2 linked regions of the Notamacropus eugenii genome follow. The protein of the gene in region 1 binds, or shares a complex with, the protein of each later gene. Links are inferred from orthologs where the notes say so. Each region holds a gene or a part of one and is shown on either strand. Other genes may lie near its edges.

Region 1 (11,145 bases):
CTATTTTTCTTTCTTTATGAATCTTACTGTTGGTTTATATGAGTGGATCCTTGACTTACATTCAACTCTTTTTTTCTCTCTCAGCTTTCTTGGTGTCTACACCTTCCCTTGTCCAGTATTGCCTGTGTCCTGTCCAGATGACTGGGGCTGAGCTACTTTACCTATGTTATGGGGTTGAAGTTGTCATCTGGCTGGATTCATGTTGCGTGGAAATTCCAAGGGGAGGCGACTTCAGCTGTATTTATATTTTCCTTTCCCCTTTCCTTTATGGAGAAGTCTTTTCCTCCCTGTACTAGTCAGGTATGCAAATGCTTCAAGGGTGCGAAAGCTTCAGCCCTCAAGGCCTCATGGGCCAAAGGTTCCCCACCCCTGCTAAGTTTGGATTCAGTCAATGTGGCTTCAAGGCCACATGTTCCTCACCCCTCAGCTAGAACCTCATTGGATCCACAGTTGATCACTTTCTCCATCACTTGGGCAAGTTAAATGCTCTCCCTTGTTAAGTTGGGGTGGGGAGTATTAATCTGGCTTACTACCAAGAGGAAATTGAGGGAAGGACAGATGTCAACAAAGCTAAAGTTTGAAAGGTGGAGAAGGAGTGTCTTATCCAAGGAACAGAAAGGGGCCAATGCCACTGAATCACAGAATATGGGATTTGGGGGAAAGGTAAGGTATTAGTTTAGAAAGGTGAGGGAAGGGCAGATTATGAAGGGCTTTCAGCATACTATGGAGAATTAGATATCTGAACTTAGAGATGGTAGGGAGCTACTGGAGTTTATTGACTAGAGGGCAGGGGTGACGGTCAGATTTGCACTTTAAGATCACTTTGACAGCTCAGTGGAAGATGGATTGGAGTGGGGAGAGACTTGCACCAGTGGGTTATTGCAACAATTCATATATAGACAGATATAGTTCTATTTCAACGGTTTTTCAACTCTCTATTTTCCTGCTAAGGCTGCTAATCAGTATTTTTGCTCTTCAGTGAGTATTGAAACAGGCAGTGTACCATAGCAGATAGAAGTCAGGAAGACCTTTTGTTCAAATCCTGGCTCTGACATTGGTTAGCCATGTGACCCAGGACAAGTCATATAATCTCTGTTTCTGCAGATATAAAAATGAGGATAATAGTGACTGTCTCTTAGTGTTGTTTTCAGAATCAAATGAGATAATATTTGTAAAGCAATTTGCAAACCTTAAGGAATTATATAAATGCTAGCTATTATCATTATCAGGAAGGGGTTGTTATCCTGAAGAGGAGTAGGAGAAAGAAGAGTAAAAAGCGGTAAAAGCAATGATCATAGGGTAATAAATTTAGACCTAGAAGGGACTATAGAAACCATATAAATGACTCCTTCATTTTTCAAGCAAGGAAACGGAGACTTAAAGAAATTGAGTGACATCTAGTATGTATCAGAGGTGGGATTTGAACCCATCTGTCTCAAACTCTTAAATTCAGGACTCTGTGGGCTATATACTATAGTGCCTCTGTAAGAAGAGGGCAGCAGTGTCTGAATTCATAGTACTGAACAGAACAGAAGCAGAGGGCTACTGGTTGAGATACAAAGGGGGTGAATAAGAAGCTAGAAAAGCTGCTAGCACATTGTTATGTTTTTTGTCAGTTTTCAGATGGGGAGCTGGATAAAGGAGAGCTGTTTCTCCAGAATGTATTTGGGAAAGACACTCATTTGGGGCAATATTTGCTGAGAAAGTTTCTGTTTCATTTCCTTTGTTACAACTAATGATTTTGTGATCTTAGACCTTTAATGATCTATGCTGTGGTTTGCTTGCATTTTTTTTTCTGTTAGCATGGCTATATCTGAATATCTAGACCCCCAATTTATTTCAGATATCTTCCCATCCACGATTACCATATTATTATATTATGTTATATTAATCATATCATATCATAACATATATCATATCATATTACATTACATCATGTCATATATATTATGTTTATAATATATCAATTATATTATTTATATCAATTATTATATTATCATCAGTGTGTTTATGAAGTGAGTAGAATCTAGTCCAAGTGAACGAGTAATTTGCAAGCCCCTGGAATTCAGATAACTTGTCTTTGTTATCTTCAGGGTTAGTCCATTTCTCTTCACATAGGTTCTTGCTATTTATTAAAGATGATAAACCTAGCATTAAGATACATTGGTCTGGCAATATGTTGGGTCTATCAGAGGACAGAGAACTTGAAGGCTATTGTAGCAATCTAGGGATGGGGATGAGGACTTGTACTCTGTACTCCAATAGTACTCTTACTGTAAGACAGTGAGAATGCAGAGGAAAAAACTGATAAGAAAAGATGTCTTGAGAAGATATGATGACTTGGATGTGTGGGATGAATAATAATTTTTTCTACTCTTGAAATGTTCCCCTCCTCTTTAAAAAAATTTTTATGCATATATTTTGTTTTTCTATCACTTATATTAACCAAATATCTTTCACCCTACTCTCTTTCCAAGAGATATTTTCTTATAACTGTGGAATCATATTAAACCCCTTTTTTTGTTCATCTGAAAATATCAAGAAATAAATATTAATCTAGTCTAAAGTCCTTTTTCCTGTAGGAAAGTGTGGAAAAGGTCAATAATAAAAGCTAAGGTCCCAAGAATATGAATTCAATATGGTACCCAAACTTAGACGCCAAAAAAAGGAGTTAAGATCATTGCTTTTCCATCTCTGGAGGAGAAAGGCTGTGACCTACTTTGGGACATTGCCCTCTTCATTCAAGAAGCATTTATTAAATTCTTACTATTAAGTTCAGGGGAAACAAATACAAGCAGAAACAGCTTGCCTTCAACTAGTTTACATTCTAGTGACTGGGAAAGAATACATAGAAGGATATTGAAAAACCTGAGTGGGTGGGGACAAGAAGAAGGGATGAAGGTCCCTGGGGAGTGGAGGGGATTGGCATCAGGTCCTGGTAATGAAAGTCTGGGACAGTATGGAGAGCAGTTTAGAGAAGATTTGACTGGCCTGGTTGCCCTCCCTAAATTGCAGGTTCTGAAGGAACTAGGCAATTAGTGGGACAGGCAGTGGGGGAGAAAGGTAGCTCCTATGTGTGAAGTCAGAGTATCATGAGCTTTCAGGGTAAAGCAGTTCCTGAAACTATACAGTTGGGGGTCGATGAAGACTGAGGACAAAGGATTAAGATACTGATTACCTGAGAGAGAAAGCTTTTTTTAATCCTGGTAGGTGGGTGGGGAGTGGTCAAAAGAAGAATTGAATGCCCTTAGGAGAAGTTTTCAGTGACTTATTCTATTAGATTGAATAGAAGGTTTATTCAAAATTGAATAAATTCCTGTGAATATTACCTCAAAGTTGCCTTAGGGTAGAGAGGAGAGAGAGAGAGAGAGAGAGAGAGAGAGAGAGAGAGAGAGAGAGAGAGAGAGAGAGAGAGAGAGAGAGAGAGAGAGAGAGTGTGTGACAATATGACATTTTGACTATTTTTCCAACCTACAGATGCCTGGATTTAGAACAAGATTAAATTAATTTCTGGATGACTTCTGCTAAAAACACAAAATATAGTATTATCTTTTCTTCAACATGATAAAGAATAAAGAGACAGTTCAGCAATATTAAACAGTATCAAAGTCTTACTTCATATTCAGTGCACCACACCAATAATCCCCCACCTCTGCAAAAAGGAGCCAAGGTATCTTTTCATTTGGAGCCATGCTCGGTCATTATAATTTCACAGTATTCAGTTGGGATCGTTTTGTTCTTGCTTTCTCCCCCATTTACATTCTAGTAATTAGTGAATATATTGTGCTTTCTTCACCATGCATCAGTTCATGTAAGTATTCCCATGCTTTTCTGTATTCATCATTTCTTATATCATATTCTATTTTTATATTTTCTTATATCACACTAACAATATTAATAATCAAGTAATATTGATTTAAATACATATAACCCTGGAAAAATAGGTGCTATTATTATCCCCATTTTACAGATGAGGAAACCAGGTTAGGAAAGGGAGTTTGAGTGAATTGACCAGAGTCACACACACAATATCAGTTTGAGGCAGGATTTGAATTCAGGTCTTCTTGATTTCAAATCTAGCAGTCTATCCACAATTCGACCTAGCTGGCACAAACAGTTCCTTCCCAGAGAAGAGGATAAACAATTATGCTGATAAAGCAAATACAAGAAAATTTTAGTTGGGAGAGAGTACTCGAGAGAAGGGGGAGGGGGGAGGGACACCAGAGTTGGGAGATTATGATAATAAAGGCTTCAGGCTGGAGGTAGCACTTCCGTTGAGCTTTGAAGGAAATAAGGGATTTTAAGAGGCAGAGGTGAGGCTGGAATGTATTTCAAATCTGGGGAACAGGTAGCCTTCAAAGACTTGGGTTCCAGTGTTTGACATCTATTGACTGGCTGACCTTGGACAAGTCACGCCCTCTCCTAAACCGCTCTTTCCTGGGTTCTTAACGCTTTTTGGGGGGGGAGGGGGAATGAAGGTGTGGGTGTGTCACAGTCCCCTTTGATAGTCTATGGAATCCAGTAGATACAGGCATGTTTCCAAAACAGTTCAGAAGGATTTGTGATTTAAAAAAATGCTATGAGAAAGAACCGATGGACTCTGAATGCAGAATGAATGAAGCACATTTTTTTCTTTTATTATTTTTGCTTGTTGGTCTGAGTTTTCTTCTGCAACTTGGCTAATATCGAACTGTTTTGAATGACCGCACAAGTGTAATCTATATAAAATGGCTTGCCTTCTCAAAAAGGGGGGTAGGGACGGATTAGGAACTCAAATTTTTTTTAAAAAAGAGTATTAAAATTTTACTGTACACGTGATTAAAGTAAAATGCCTGAAATAAAATACAAAGTTTAACAACGGGAACTCGTATTGGAGTTATTTTTTTTAAAGTTGGCGGACCCCAGCTCCAAGACTACCAATTGTGCTGCCGGTGCTCACCCACATTTGTAAAGGGGGAGGGGGCTCCCAATACCAACGGAACACAGGTAGAGAGGGGGAAGGAAGAGGCGCGGGATCGGGGACGGAGAGTCCTCCCGTGCAGCAGGACAGGCTTTGCGGGCGGGGAGAGGAGGCGCCGGAGCCGGGCTTTGCCCGCCGAGGTGGATGGACAGAGCCGAGGGCCATGAGGACGCGAAGAGCAGAAGACGCGCTCGGGGCACCTGGGCAGGCCCGTCCGCGGCTCTAGACTAGGGGCGGAACAAGGGAGCTTCTCCAGCTCGGAGGGTGCCTGCGGGGAGACCCGAAGGTGTGGCGGCTCGCTCCGACTCGATGTGTAGGAGGGGGAGGAGAGTGTCTACGACCAGAGACAAGGTGAGTGGCTGGAGAGCCGCGTGGGCGGGAGTGCGGCCGGAGGGCGGAAGGGGATTGGCCAGCTGGCAGCCTCTGTGTGTATGTGGATGGATGGGTGTGTGTGGTGGGGGGGCGGAAGGGGGCCGCTACTCTGTCAGGCTGGGCGTGGAGTTAGCCAGTGCTCTAGCCTCTCCTCCTCTAGCCTAGCTCCGCCCTCACGTGAGGTGCGCCGCCTGCCCCAACTCTCTTCCTCCTTCTCCACTTAGCAGTTCGAGCTCAGTTCTCGCCTGACTCCCTCCTTCTTTCTCTCTTCACACCGCCCTGGCCGTTCCCTCTTCTCTCTCGCCCGCCCGAAAAGAAGTCGAACGCGGAACTCATCGATAGCTCGGCCTTCGCGGCTCGCATCCATTCGCTCGGGACTCGACTTCCCCAGGCGGTGGCGGCGGCGGCGGCGGCGGCAGAGGCGGCAGCAGCAGCGGTGGCTGCGCCTCGGGCTCCGGCTCCTTCTGCGCTCCCCGGCCCCCGCCATTTCAGAGTGGGCTCGAGAGCGGCGTTAACGCAGGCGGCCGTGCGGGCCCGAGACGCAGCGTCTCTCCGGCGCGGAAGAGAGGTACGGGCCCTGCCGCCCTCCCCCCTGAGTCCCTGCCCGGGGTCCGACCTTTTCTCGCCGGCGCCAGGCTGGGCGGGGCGGACGGAGAGTGAATGAATTAGGGGTCCTCGCGGGGGTGGGGGGTGGGAGGGACGGAGCGGCGGCGAGGACGGGCTGGGGGGGGGGGGGGTGCAGGGAGAGGCTGCCGCCGCTTCCTGAACGGGAATCCCCTTCCTTCTTTCCTTTCTTTCTTCCTTCCTCCCTCCCTCCCCGGAGAGCCGGCCGGGCTCGAGGCGAGCTGAAACTCGGCCGGCCCGAGGGCGGGTCCGGGCGTGGTGGAGGTTGCGCCCCGGTCTGCCCGTCGGTGGGTCGGCGCACTCCCTCCTGGCCGGCTCCCCGCCTCGGCTGCCCGGCGACGTCCCCCCTGCCGCCCTCAGCATCTCCCCGAGCGAGCGAGAAACTTCTTTTGCCGCCGCCGCCGCCGCTAAGTGGTCTTCTTCCTTGTGAACAAAGACTCTGTGTGTGTTGTGTGTGTTTGTGTGTTGTTGGGCGGGGGGGGTCCTTTCCCAAGAGAACTGAGAAGTAGGCAGAGACTCGGTGTCGGAGGTTACGTTGGGGAGGGTCCTGCTGCAGCCGCCGAATTCCCTCTGTGGCTCGGCAAGTGGCAGCAGAAAGCTCCAGGTGGACGGAATTAAACCTGGCAGGAGTTGTAAACGGAAAATGGTTTATCCCGGAGAATTTTGCTGAGTCAAGTTTATTTATAAGCAAGAAAAAAAATCAGCCACAAACTAAAAGTGGTTATCTCTGGTGAAGAACGCAGAACACGTTCACCATCCTGGAAGTTACTACAGTAATACCGAGCTGTAACCGAACTCCAACATTTAGCAATAATGACCAGTGGCGAGGACCTGGTAGTGGCCGCCAAAACAACCTAGTGCAGCCTTTTGATCAGGTGTGTGTATGTGTTATAGCTAAAGCTGCAGACTGGCTGATGTTTACAAGTGCAGTAGTAAGCATAGAGAATTAGAGAAGGGAAAATGGCTATTGATATCCAGACAGTCTTAACATTAGTCATTGATTGATGTCCATATTGATGGACTCAGCTTCAGAATGATAAGACTTTATTCACTGAAGGTAGTTGATGGCAATTAGGTGTTGTTTGGAACCTAAGACATGTTCAGATGTAGCCTGTTTTAAAAACTTGAATTTTCAGAGAGAGGTAAATTAAGAGAATATTATTTACCTTAAAATGCTCAATTTCTTTTCTTGACTATGCACTGTCACTTAACCTCTTTCTGACTCAATTTTCTCATTTGTACAGTGATGAGCTTGGGGTGGTGTAGTGGATGCAGTGCTAGGCTTGAAGTCAGAAAGGCCTAAGTTCAGATCCAGCCTCAGACACTTACTAGCTGTGTGGCCCTGGTCAAGTCACTTAACCTCACTTTATCCGTAAAACGAGGATAGTAATAGCAGCTATTCCCCCGGGTTGTTGTGAGAATCAGATGAGATAATCATAGTTGTAAAGCACTTGGCATAGTCCCTAAAACTATCTAAAGTGCAGAGAATACTTTGGTACAGAGAATTTCCTCACCTCGAAGTTCCCTAAACCTTTGAAGTGAGAGTCTATCCCTATCCTTTGAATGAAATTAATGCAAGGAACACCAGATTGCTAAATTAGTAAAAACAGCAAGTTGATTTTGAATCTTAGCCTTGTTACTGTGAATCAGTGGGCACTCAGTTCATTTTTCTAAACCTTAATTTTTTCATTCATAAACTTACCCAGATAGCCTGAGGGGAGAGGGTTGGACTAGATGATTTCTAAGGTCCCTTTCAGTTCTAAATACTATGAACCTATAATATAAAGGATTTAAATAAGTAGATTTGAGGGGAAGACCCTCAAATGAGTAAAGGCACTGATAGAAAAGCATGTGACTGTTCAGCCACTGTGGACTCTTAAGTGTTCCATTTTGGCAGTACCATAGAGTATATGAAGGAAAGTAGTACAAGAGAAATCTGGAGACTGGAGCAGGATTGTGGAGGTCATAAATGTCAGACCAAGGATTTTGCACTTCATGGTTAACTTTCATTGAGTTAGTACTTGCTTTTTGGACTTTAAGGTAAGCAGTTTTGGGGTGGGGGGCAGGCGTAGGAGCTGGGAGTTGAAGTTATGGCACAGATTCTACATTTATTTAGCACACTGTGCTGTTTGCTAGTGCGCAGAGCAAAAGGAAAGAGCTCTCCCCCCTTCAACGAGCTTACATTCTATTCATGGAAATAGCATGGGCATATGAAATACAATACAAAGTATACACAGGATTAATATGAGTTAATTTGGGAAGGCATTAGCAACTTTTGTGAATCAGGAAAGGCCTTGCATAGGAACTGCTACTTAAACTTTGAAGCATGGTAGGTTTTCTCCATGCTGTTTGTTGTTGACATTACACAAGGAGGGCCAAATAGCACAAGATTCCTTGCTGTAGTGGCTAAGAACTAGGCTAATGCAAGTTCCTTGTTCTCATGTTGGAGGGAAATGAGTATGGAACAAGATAAATTAAAAGGCTATTCTTTACCTGGCACAAAAACTTTTGGAGCCTAAGGACATTACCTGTTGGAGAGTAGGCTGGGGAATGGTATATTTGACAAACTAGAATATTTGGATTTTGATCTGTTTGGATATTTCTTATTCTTGTGTGAGCCAAATAGATAGACCTTCTGTGTTTTTTTTTCTATGTACACTTATGTACAGACACTGAATATATTTGTATGTGCATTCATTCACACTTCAGTAATTTGTTCAGGAACTGATATCTAATTTTGGATTATTGTCAGTTCCCTTCTAAATGGTATTGATTGGCCTTTCTTACATGTACTTCTTTTTTCTTTGGTTCCATAAAGGAAATCAATGGCCACTCCATACATAAATACATATACACATAGGTTTACGTATTGCAGGGACAGGATGTGTGTATGGTAGTAGTACATGTAACGTAGATCAAATTCTTGACATTAACAAATTGACATTGAACGATTGCACCTTCGGAGGGGAAATCTGTTTCTATGTCCTTTAAAATAAATGTTTTGATTAATAAAATAATTTGTTCTTATACACTTTTAATCTTAATTTAACTTTACTTCCTTGTCAGCTTTCTGAAGCTGGCCAAGGTATACTTCTTGCCACGTATTCACAATCTTTCCTGTGGATTTTACAGTAATTGCCATCTTTTTGGAAGCTAGAGTTTCATAGAAAAATGACAATGGCAGCAGAGGAGGTATTCAGTCACTCTAGTTGAGGTTGTAGAGTGCTGTACTCTGTACTTCTAATCCCATGAAGTCATGACATATTCCAGTGAGAACAAGCTCAAAACCCGCAAATGGCCATTCTACAAAGAACTATCTAGTCAGAGTATGAGATAGAAGAACTTTGCCTGTACTCACACTGGTTTTATTTTTCTCAAAATACTGATGGGAAAGTTGTCGTAAACATCATAAAACTCAGATTTCTAAGCTATGTAGCTTATAGTATTTTAGAAGAGATCTGATATGTTTTTTCCATTGCATCCATTAAAACAAGTTTTACTAAAGTTATTTTCAATTTTCAACATCACATTTTTTGTGTATATCCTAAAAGCATATCTCATGTAAAGGTAGGTATCCATTTCATTTCTAGCCTGTCAGAAAGTTTAGGCTACATTAAATTTATGTGAAGAATATTCTGATCATGTTATTATTATCATTTTTTGTTATAAGGCCTGCTGAAAATGACTGAATATAAGCTTGTGGTAGTTGGAGCTGGTGGCGTAGGCAAGAGTGCCTTGACGATACAGCTAATTCAGAATCACTTTGTAGATGAGTATGATCCCACGATAGAGGTAAGTCTGTTTTAAATATTATATGTGTGTGATGTTAAATAATGACATACATATAATAGACTGAAGTTTTTGACCAATAATACTTAACTGAAATGTATTTCAGATCCCTTGTGAAAAATACTTAAAATTAGTATTTAATTGCTTACCTTTTTTTTGTTTGGTATTTTATTTTTCCTCAATTACATGTAAAAATAATTCTCTCCCTTCCTCCCTTCCCTCATTGAGGTGAGCAATTTGATATAGCTTATACATATGTAGTCATGTAAAACATTTCCATAATAGTCATGTTGTGAAACAAAATATAGACAAAAAAAGAACTTTTAAGAAAAATAAAGTTAAAAAAAGTATGCTTCAGTCTGCATTCAGACACCATCAGTTCTTTCCCTGGGGAGAGATAGCATTTTTCATCATAAGTCCTTCAGAGTTGTCTAGTATCATTGTATTACTAAGAATTGGGAAGTCATTCACAGCCCATCATTTTACAATATTGCTGTTACTTCGTATACACTACCTGTCACTTTGTATCAGCTTCTGTAAGTCTTTCCAGGTTTTTATGAGAGCATTCTGCTCATCATTTCTTATAGCACAATACCATTCCATCACAATCACATAACCAGCTTGTTTAGCCATTCCCCACTTGATGGGCATCCCCTCAATTTCCAATTCTTTGCCAGAAAAGAGCTGCTTGCTATAAATATCTTTCTACATATAGGTTCTTTTCCTTTTTGCTTTTTATCTCTTTTGGGATACAGACCTAGTAACAGTGTTGTTAGGTCAAGCATATACATGGTTTTATAGCCCTTTGGGCATAGTTCCAAATGGCTCTACTGAATAGTTGAATCAGGTCCCAACTCCACAAACAGTGCATTAATGTCTCATTTTTCCCTACATCCCCTCCAACATTTGTCATTTTCCTTTCTGCCCCGTTAACCAATCTTAATAGATAGGAGGTAGTACTTCAGTGTTGTCTTAATTTGTATTTCTCCAATCAATGATTTAGAGCATTTTCTTTCATATGGCTATAGATAGCATTGATTACTTAATCCGAAAATCGTTCTTATCTTTTGATCATTTATTAAATGGGGAATGGCTCTTGTTTTTATAAATTTGACTCAGTTCTCTGTATGTTTGAGAAATGAGGCCTCTATCAGAGGAACTTGCTTCACAATTTTTTCACAGTTAAAATTGCTAATTGTATTTCCCTCTCCTATTTTTGCCTCTGTTTATCCTATTCTCTCTCCTTTCCTCCTCAAAAGTGTTTTGCTTCTGATTACCCCTTCCTCCAATCTGCCCTCCCTTCTATCACTTCCCCACTCCCCTCCCCTTATCCTCTTTCCTTCCTACGTTGCTGTAGGGTAGACTTCTATATCCAGTTGACTGTGTATTTATTCCGTCTT
Region 2 (10,504 bases), on another chromosome or scaffold:
ACAAGATTTTCAAGTACAAATGCTTATTTCAATATACTATCACAAGGCAAGTCTATTAACCATTGTTGTTCAGATGACTAAATCATATTTGTTCAGGGCAAGTAAGTTCCTTATCCTTTCATATTCAGAAATAACCAGGTCTTTAACATAAAATGAGAATTGCTTCTATAAACTGGTCAAGATTTTATTAAACAGGTATTTAATTTCTACTATTTTATTTCTAGAGTAGATTTTTTTGGGAGGATATTGATAGAGTTAGGGACCGGACCTATGATTTCATTAGTTAAATATAAAGAAATCCTGGGTGAGGAAATTCCCTTTATCTACCTAAGTCAGAGATTTTTCTTCAACTTAGAGTCTTAGAAAGTTTGTAAAATGGATAATTTTGATTACATTTAATTAAAATATTTTTGTACAGATAAAACCAATGTGGCCAAGATTAGGAGGAAAACATAAAACTAGGAAAAAATTTTTTATCTGCTAAAGTCCTTATCTGTTAAATATATAGAGAACTAAGTCAAATTTATAATAATGAGTCATTCTGCAATTGGTAAATGGTCTAAGAGCATGAGTAGGCAGTTTTCAGATGAAGAAATCAAAGTCATCTTTGATGTCACATGAAAAAGTGCTCTAAATCACTATTGATTAGAGAAATTCAAATTAAAACAACTTTGAATTACTACCTCACACCCATCAGCTTGACTATTATGACAAAAAAGGAAAATTAAAAATGTTGAAGGGGGTTTGGGGAAAATTGGAACACTAATGCATTGTTGGTAGAGTTGTGAACTGAACCAATCATTCTGGCGAACAGTTTGGAACTGTGCTATGAAATAATGCATACCCTTTGATGCAGCATTACCACTCTGTATGTATCCCAAAGAAATTTTTTAAAAAAGGACCTATTTGTACAAAAATATTTATAGCAGCTCTTTTTATGGTAGCAAAGAATTGAAAATTGAGGGGATATCCATCAATTAAGCAATGTCTGAACAAGTTGTTGTGTATGATTGTGATGAAATATGAATGTGCTTTCAGAAATGATGAACAGGATGCTTTCAGGAAAACCCTGACAGACTTAACATGAACTGAAGCAAAGTGAAGTGAGCAGAACCAGAAGAACATTGTAGACAGTAACAGTAACATTGTATGATGATCAACCATGATTGACTGAGCTATTTTCGGCAATACAAATTCTGAAGAACCTATGATGGAAAAATGCCTTCCACCTCCAGGGAAAGAATTGATGGAACCTGAATGCAGATCAAAGCATATTTTTAAAATTTATTTTCCTTGTTTTTTTCTGTTTTCTTTTATATCATGACTAATATGGAAATAATGTTTTGCATGACTACATATGTATAACCTTTATTAAATTGCTTGCCTTCTTAAAGAGGGGGAGAGAAGTTAGAGTACAAGAGAATTTGGAACTCAAAATTGTAAAAAAGAAAGGTTAAATTTGTCTTTACATACAATTGGGAAAAATAAAATATTAAAAATTTTTTAAAAGTTGTTTTTATGACTTGCCCAGGGTTATATAACTAGTATGTGTCCCAGTCGGGGCTTGGACCTAGGATTTCATTGCTTGAAGTTGTACTCTCTGTTCATGATGCCACATTGGAAATATATAAAAAATGTTATTTTGTCAGTTTATTATTCATAGTCTTTAACTTTTTCATAAATGTTGTCACTTTATCTTTATGAATCAGAAAGAGAAACTGTGCTGATTTAGTGTACTGTAGTCAGTTTGAAAAAATATCCACCAAGTATATGAAGTTCAGGAGAAAATTTTTATTATAAAATTAATCTGCTTAATCTTTATTATTATCACTAAGTAAGAAAAATGGCAGTGTCTTCTTTTAGTTCAGACTTCCTTTGAAGTTTCTTGGTATAGGAAAGCTGTAGTGTTTCAATATAGTATCATTAAATGCAATATGATGTAATGTAATATAATAAAATATAACATAAATAAAGCCTTATGCTGTACTCCTCCCCCCACATCACCATGTAATTTTGTTAAAAAGCCTTCCTTTTAATAGACTATTTTTCAAATCAGTTTGACTATTCTTGCAACAATTTGAAAAACCATGTGTACCCTTTCACTCATATTTCTTGATATAAATGATTATAAGGAATATAATGGAATATAATACATGAAGGACCATATTTCAACTAGTACTTATAATCTGTGTTTTATTCTAAAAATTAAGATTCATCAGCAAAGAATCCAATATAATTCATGTAATATAATTTTCAATAAAAAATTGTCAGTTATACTGACAACTCAGTGTGGCATTGCCATGAATACCTTTAAAAAATAACAAATCTTTCTTAGCATCATTTTAAACAACAAAGCATACAGATGAAATCAAAGGAACCTCTTTAACTCCTTCATTACCCATGTGCAATATAAAATATAAAGATTTTAGTTCCTCATTTAATTCAAATTATTCAAGTTATCAAATCATATGACCAATTCTCCCCATCACCTTATTTGCAAGTGGAAACATTCAAAGCATCTTTGGATGTGATTTACCCAGAATTGTTTCAACAGTATCAGTAGTGGGAAGTAACACCATTTTTTTCCCCTTTTGAGGCTTTTTACATTATTAATAATACAAGCAGCTTTATATAATGTAGGAAATCATTTTGATTTCATATACTTAAAGAAAAAGTTTTTGTTTACTCAAAAATCACATAAATTTCTTTGGAAAAATTCTCTTTTTACCAGCATGTTATTTTTGTACATTTTCAAGATGTTTCTATTTATTTGGTTTCACACTATCTGCAGCTAAAGTATTCATGCAAACTAAACACTTTCCCTTCATCAATCACAGTACTTATGACTGCTTATGATAGTTATATAGTGGCTCTTACTTACTTTCTGGATTTTTTGCCTTTTTATTTTTTTTTGTTTCTATGTTTCTGCTACTTAAGCAGTTTTTATTGTCCATGCTTATATTAATTCAGTTGCTCCAGTGGATTTTCTTTTCAACATGGCTATTTACTTATTCATTGTCTAAGGATATTAGGCCAATTTTAAAAATTAAACGAAGTATTTAAGAAAAATTTAATTGTTGAAAATTTTAACCAACTATAACTTCTCAGGATATTCAATTTTCTTAAAGTTGCATGATTTTGGAAACCATTTTGTCCTTACAAAAGTGAATGATGTTGAGAAATATAAAAGATATCATGGTACTTTTGTCTTTTGCACAAAAATTTTTTAACTTGGAGTCTGCACTTTTGTGCTTTATGATCAGATACAAGTAGCGTGACCACACTAATTGATGTGCATCATGAGTTTGCATCAATGGACAATTATACATGACAATGGCCATCGCATTCCCTTTAAGATTCATTATGTCAGTTCAAATTTTTGCCTCTCTTGTGCATTTTATATCACATAATTATATTAATTGCTGTCCTATATTCATATCAATTGAAATATATTTTTTGTGTCTTTTGTTGACTTTGATTTGAACTTTGTTTTCACTAACAAAAAATTGGTATATTTATGGGGGAAGTGTATTTGGAAATATATATTAAATTTGTCCATTGCTTCATGTCCTTCTTGAGGATACACAGTAATTTGGGCTATTGCTTCCTATCCCCTCGTTCTGGCCCCCAGGGGTTATGGTATCTCATTTTGTCAGAGGAGCAGGTCCAAGTATTTGGAAAATTCAGTCGTTAGGGAAGGATTATACCAGATATTTAAGCTGATAGCTTCCTGGAACTGTTATTTCTTTGTGTTTCATATCCAACTAGTGACCCAGAGAAGCCTAAAACCATCTTCTGTTTTTGTGTCTAGAATTCAATCTACTCTTAAACTTAGGGTAAAAATATTGCTCTTAACTATTATCATGTCAATTGTGGTCCAAGCCAAATCATTCCTGGAGCTTCACTTAGTTTCACTAAGAACCTAGGTGAAATTGAGGCCCTTTGTCCTACGTTCCTACATAGTGAAATAGCTTTCTTCCCTAATGTTGCTAAAATATCAGAAAAAATAATTTTATTGTTAATTTATTTTTAATAGAATTAACATATTTCTAATGGAATGGGAAGATCTTTCCCATCCATTAATAGGCCTATAAAGCCTGTGGTGGGAGGAGCTTGCTGAATGGCTAGAACAGGAAGGGATCAGGTAGAACAGGAAGAACAACTGGGATCAGGTAGAACAGGAAGAACAACTGGGAGAGAGCAGACAGAGCAGAGCAGCTAGCATGAGTGAGAGAGGGAGTAATTTTGCCTAAGGGAGCTTGTTTGTGGGGATGTCTGACAGAGGGAAGGCTCGAGGGATGACTGTGCTGACTGCATTGATCATATGTATAGAATTCTTTGTTACTATGGTGGATTTATCTTTCTGGTATCTGAATAAATATTTGGTTTCATCTTTGAGGAAGAAAGTTTATATTATCCAAATTTACCCTAGAAATAAGCATGCATATCCATACCTGCTTCTGTGGGCATTGAATTGGCATTACAATAATTTAAAAATTGACCAATATGGAGAACTGTAATGCTAATGAGAGTTAAAGATCTTCCCCACCCATTAATGGGACTGCCCATTAAGGAAAGCTTGATTAGGGGAGGCCTACACCTTTGGTTAATTTTCTAGTGAGGCACTGGTTCTCAAGGGTTGTGATGCCCCCTGGCTCTGAAAAATGTATAAATACTCTGAGGTGAAGTTTTATTTGGGGACTTACTTATCAGAAGTGTTTGTTTGGCCAGATGAGACTCTGGGCAGCCACTAAAGAGCCCCTTGGCTTTGAAAACCCAGATGTTGGTGCTTCTCTCTTTGGTAACAATGTATGCAATGATCAGACAGTTGTATCTGTCTGTTGATCTGTGATGTATTGTTATGGTCAGATAGTTGGAAGCCCTCTCTGTTGGTTGATATTTGTTTCTCTGAAGTTCAGGGTGCTGACTTTTTCCCCTGAACTAAGTGAATGATGTATGTGCTTGATTAAAGTGATTATTGACCTCTCAAAAGTTGCTTTCCTTTTAGAAAATCAGATCTAAGAATAGCAGGCCCCTCTGTGTGGTGGGGTCATTGCTGTTACAAGAATATAATAGAGTTCATTTAAGAATACATAGAAGTAACCAACAACTAACTTCAAAAGAAAACAGAAATACTGCCAATGGAGAGCAACTGGAAGAATATGGATTTAGAAAATCACTAAATTATCCAAAGAATTGGAAAGCATACTGAATCAAATGATAAATTTAGAGGTTAGACCACATGGCAGAATTTTAGGAATACTGATATCCTCTAAGTTTAGAGAACCAAAAGAATATGAAAATAGTATTCCAAGAAATTGTCAAAAAAAAGCTTCACAGAATTGGCAAAAATAAGTAGCAATGCTTTCCCCATCTCTCTTTTTTATTTGTTATTACAAGTGATATTTCTCTGGAAAGGAAAGAAGGAAGAACATATTTGAAATGAAGGGGAAGTAAAACAAAAGATAACTTTTTTTTAAAGCAACAATACACATATAGGATTCATAGGACTCCTAAAGAAAGAAGGCAAAATTCAATACTACTATGCTCATTATAGTTAAACTTTAACATTATAACAGAAAGAGAAAAAAAATGCTTTAAGCTGCCAAAAAAAAAAAAAAGGATTGAAACCACTTGCCAAGAAACATTAATCAGGATCACAGTGGACTTCTTAAGAAAGGCAAGGGACAGTGAGAGGAATTGGAAGGCATATGAACATACATAAGCCTAACATGTATAAATCATGAACCCAAAATTAGCTACTCAGTAAAACTCAATATATTTTTTCAAGGGACAACATGAACATTTGCAAAGCATTTAATCATTGAAAAATTTTCAGAGGAAGATATTGTGCCATTTCGTAGAATCTCCATTTTAAGGAAAACACCCAGGCCAGCCAGGTCTTTATTCCCTTCCATATTTTACTCCTAACTTTCTGGACTTTCTCCATTAGGTCACAGAAGCCCTTCACCCTGGAAGTTCACTTCATCCCTGAACTTCCTACATTTAAAGTTCTCTCCACCCTGAGGCACCTTCCTCTGATTGGCTGATTCTTCCTAGAGCCTCCATTTTCAGGAAAATGCCAGGGTAAGTTAGGTCTTTGCTCCTTTCCAGGCTATGCTCCTGACTTGCTGAACTTTGTGCCCCTGTTATGGTTACCTTCTCTCACCCTAACCTCTTTCAGCTTCCTTTTATGTGTTGTATTACCCAATTAATACTCCTTAAGGGCATGGCTGTCTTTCTGTTTGTATCATATTTCTATAGCAGAGTGCCTGCCATGTAGTAAATACTTAAACATTAAAAAAATTTTTTTTTATAAATCCTTACTGATTTGACTTAATTTTCATTGTAGTACCCTTTAGAAAAGTTTGAGATTTTCAAAGAAGTATGGGACACTGTGCTTTAACATGCTTGATACTATATTTCTAGAACAATACCATAGTCTGTGATCATTTTAGCTTACCCACCATTTTCACTTGCTTCCATTTTTTTCATTTTTATTTTAAAAATCTAAGTTGGTTGATGAGTTTTCTGTATATCCACATTTGTTTCCATAGACATTCCTGTCTGTTTTATTCCATTGGGATAATTTCAGCTTTTGTCTAAAGAATTTCACCTATGAAAGCATCCCATCCTTACCTTGGGTTGACTTCCTTTTCAAAATTACAGCCTGTGTAATCTTACCTATCCCTTCTCTGAACCCTTGATATAATATTCCCCAAAATGTTTGTGGGTAACAGACTTTAGTGTTTCTTAAAATTCTAAAATGGAGCGATAACTTCTCTTCAAAGGTTCCCATGATTCGTATTTCAATATTTGGTTTAAATCTCGGCTCTGCTACTTGCTACCTGTATGACCTTGGCAAGTCACTTAATCTCTGTGGACCTAAATTTCTTTATCTATAATGTTAGATTGTTGAGTTAGATGATCTCTAAGGTCCTTTTCACCTTAAAATTTATGATCCTAGTTTTCCAAATGAAGAAAAGTGGAATCTCCCTCAAAACGATAAATGTTGCTACAGAGGAATCTCACCCACCTACTTAAATTTTTAAAAAGACTTCTACTGAAAAGGGAAGCAAGTACCAGTAACTGAGGAAGATTACAAAAGTGACATGATACTTTAAGAAACATATACCTGGTGTCTAAAACACTGAAGCACAAAGTGAATCACAGGCTATCGATGAATGCTAAAGAAAACAAAAAGAAAAAATTTAAGCTCCTTTGGGAGCAAGAAGAAGATAAGAGAAAGGATGGAACCTCACTGCATTGGATAGATAGATAAAATATTTTTTAAGCACTTACTGTGCACTATGCTGAATGCTGGGGATACACATTCAAATGAGCAAGATAGCCCTTGGCCATAGAGAGCCTGTGTTCTCAAGGGAGAAGATAACACATAAAGTGGAGTTGGAGAAGGGGAGGTTGAGCATGCATGAGGGGTCCAGCATGGTGAGGAGATGGAGAATACATGATTAAAGAGACAGTTGGCAGATAGGGGTGCAAGTACCTGGAGTAAAGGAGGCTCAGTTTCCTCATCTGCAACATGGTAATATTAATAGTACCTACCTCCTAAGGTTGTTATGAGGATAAAATGAGATATTATTTGTAAAATGATTTGCAAACCTTGAAGTGCTATATAAATACTAGTTCTTATTGTTGTTTGTGAGCACTCAGAAAGAAAAAGTGGCGAGCACTAAGAGCCAGAATGAGTTCTTTAGAAAGCAAGTTTTTCCTTACTAAATATATTGCTATTTCTGACAGGGTTACTAGATGGGTGGTACAATGGCTTTGGAGTCAGAGGACCTGTGTTCAAAACCCAGCTTTATCACTTACTACTTTCTGTGACTTTGGACAAGTCATGGAATCTCTCTGGGCTTCGCTTTTCTTATGGTAAAATAAAGGAGTTGGACTATGGCCTCCAAGGTCCCTTCTGCCTCTAAGTCTTTGAGCCTGTGATATTCTGATGAATCAGGGCAGTGCTGCAGACACAGCATCTCAGGACCTCAATACAGCATTTGATAAGGTTTCTAATTATCTGTAAGTAATATGAAGAGCTATAAGTTGAATTGCAGTACAGTTAGATGGATTTGAAACTGGTAATGCAAAAAGTGGGGATCAGTGGATTGATAGTAACCTGAAGGACAGTCTCCATCATGATGCCATAAGGCACTGTCTTGGGCATAATTCTCTTCAGGGGTTTTACAACTTGCGTTATGACATAGATGATGTATGTTACATTTGTAGATAATATGTAACTGGGAGGGTTACTTGATACATTGGATAATAAACTCTACCTTTCCAGGCTTATTATATATATTATATTGTTATACCTTACTTCTTTTCATGTACTCTACAATCCAGCCAAATAGGCCTTCTTGCTATTCCTCAACATACATGACCTGTAACTTTGTGCAGGCTTTCCTTGTGATCTTAGAATGCACTTCTTCCTTACTTCCACATATTAGTATCCCCAATTTCTTTCAAAGCTCAGCTTAAACATCTCCTATAGGAGAACATTCCTCATTGTCCCTAGCTGCTAATGCCTCCCCTCAATTGCCTTGATTTATTTTTTTAAATATATTTTACATTTGCAAGAAAAAAATATAGAAAACAAATTGTTCATACAAAAAATGAAAAAGGAGAGCTCACAACAATTGAAGAATAAAGGAAAGTTTTAGAAAAAAAATTTGCCCAATTATATGCTAACAAAACTGACACCTTAAAGGACACAGATGAATACTTTCAAAAACCTAAACTAACTAGATTAACCAAATAAGAAATAGATGATTTAAATACGAAATAAAAAGAAATTGAACAAGTCATAAATGATCTCCCAAAGAAAAAATCCTATGGCCAGATAGATTCTCAGGTGAATTCTATCAAACATTCAAAGAGCAATTAAACCTCATGTTATATAAACTGTTTGTAATAAGAAAAAAAGTACCTTCCAAGCTATTTCTATGATAGAAATGCAGGTTTTTTATCTAAACCAGTGAGAAACAAATCACAGGCAGAAAATTTTATGTCAGTATTCCTAATTAAAAAAATTTAAATAAAATATTAGCAAGTAGACTACAATGGCATATTAGAAAGATTATATACTGTGACCAGATTAGGTTTATCCCAGGAATAAGGGTTAATCTAACAAGGAAAACTATAAATATAATTGTTGTTGTTATTCATTCGGTTTCCAGTCATGTCCAACTTTTATGTGACCCCATTTAGAGTTTTCTTGACCAAGATTCTAGAGTGGTTAGCCATTCTTTTCTCCAGTTCATTTTACAATTGAGGAAACTAAGGCAAACAGGGTTAAGTGACTTTACATAGCTAGTAAATGTCTGAGGTCAGACTTGAACTGAAGAAGATGAATCTTCCTGACTTCAGCGATTCCCGGCACTCTATTCACTGCACCACCTACCTGTCCCATAAATATAATAAACCATGTTAGTAATGTAAATAATAAAGATCACATAATTATATCAATAGGTCTTAAAAAGGCTTTTAGATAATATACAATACTCATTTGTATTAAAATGCAAGAAATCATAAGAATTAATAAGTATTTCCTTTATACATAGGATAATAATAAATACAATGATAATGCATATAGTAAATAAAATTTATATAAATCTAACAGCAAACATTATATGTCAAGGAGTTAACCTAGAATACTTTTCAGTAAGATCAGATATAAAACAAGATTGTCCATTGTCACCACTGTCATTTAATGTGGTGCTAGAAATGCTGACTATAGCAATAAGCTAAGAAAAATAACTTAAGGGAATTAGCATAGGCAAAGAGGAAACAAAATTATCACTTTTTCCAGATGATATGATTGTGTATTTAAGGTGCCCTGGAGAATCATCTAAAATTAATTTCAAGAGTAACTTCAATGGAGTTGTAGGATATAAGATAAATCCACATAAATCATTTGCATTTCTTTCTATATAAACCTAACAAGACCCAGCAAGAAGAGATAGAGAAATTTCATTCAAAGCCAATCAGAAGGGGCGCATAATCACTATATGGTTTACAGACCAGAACCAATCACAGAATGTCTTTTCAAGGAATCTCCATTACACAGTCATCACAAGTGATTCTTCCAGAACTGGCTTCCCAGCTTTTTCTACATGAGGTTATTGCCTCAGTAGCACTCTATACATGCTCATAAGGATGAAACTCAGTAGCTATTCCCCATTATATAAATATTGTCATTTGTATTTTTCAGATGTGTAAAATAGTTAATAAAATAGTGGTAATGGGATTGAAACTTGTTTCTTCTGCCTATCAGTTATAATTCTAAGTAATGTCTACAAAGAGTATGAGAGAAGTAAACTAAAGGAATCAAGAACTCCCGGTAGTTCTTTAGTGGGTTGGGTTTGTTTTTTTTTTAAGATTTTAAAAGTATTTTTGTTTGGTTTTGTTGGAGTATGTATGTACATATTTGAAATTTGCAAAGTATTTTGAACTGTCTATATCAGTGATAAATCACTGAATTGACTGT

What was found. Proteins that work in one complex are often made in the same cells at the same time.
Region 2: the proteins of KRAS (region 1) and RGL1 are in contact, whole or in part, in a crystal structure (PDB 7SCX), measured with the Homo sapiens proteins. The link is inferred for Notamacropus eugenii from reciprocal best matches to the Homo sapiens genes KRAS and RGL1. Residues at the interface, in NP_001356715.1 of Homo sapiens: Ile24, Gln25, Glu31, Asp33, Pro34, Thr35, Ile36, Glu37, Asp38, Ser39, Tyr40, Arg41, Leu56, Tyr64, Met67; in NP_001284600.1 of Homo sapiens: Ile651, Arg653, Asn660, Gly661, Asn662, Met663, Tyr664, Lys665, Ser666, Ile667, Met668, Lys685, Asn687.

The regions. Positions count from the first base shown.
Region 1 is NC_092874.1:180,487,646-180,498,790, forward strand, and holds the start of KRAS (GTPase KRas), read left to right. Parts: upstream 1-5,772; 5' UTR 5,773-5,900; intron 5,901-6,319; exon of another isoform or gene 6,320-6,397; intron 6,398-9,626; 5' UTR 9,627-9,637; coding exon 9,638-9,748; intron 9,749-11,145. UniProt on the Homo sapiens protein: Ras proteins bind GDP/GTP and possess intrinsic GTPase activity. Plays an important role in the regulation of cell proliferation.
Region 2 is NC_092873.1:461,403,826-461,414,329, reverse strand, and holds the start of RGL1 (ral guanine nucleotide dissociation stimulator-like 1), read left to right. Parts: upstream 1-5,958; 5' UTR 5,959-6,087; intron 6,088-10,504. UniProt on the Homo sapiens protein: Probable guanine nucleotide exchange factor.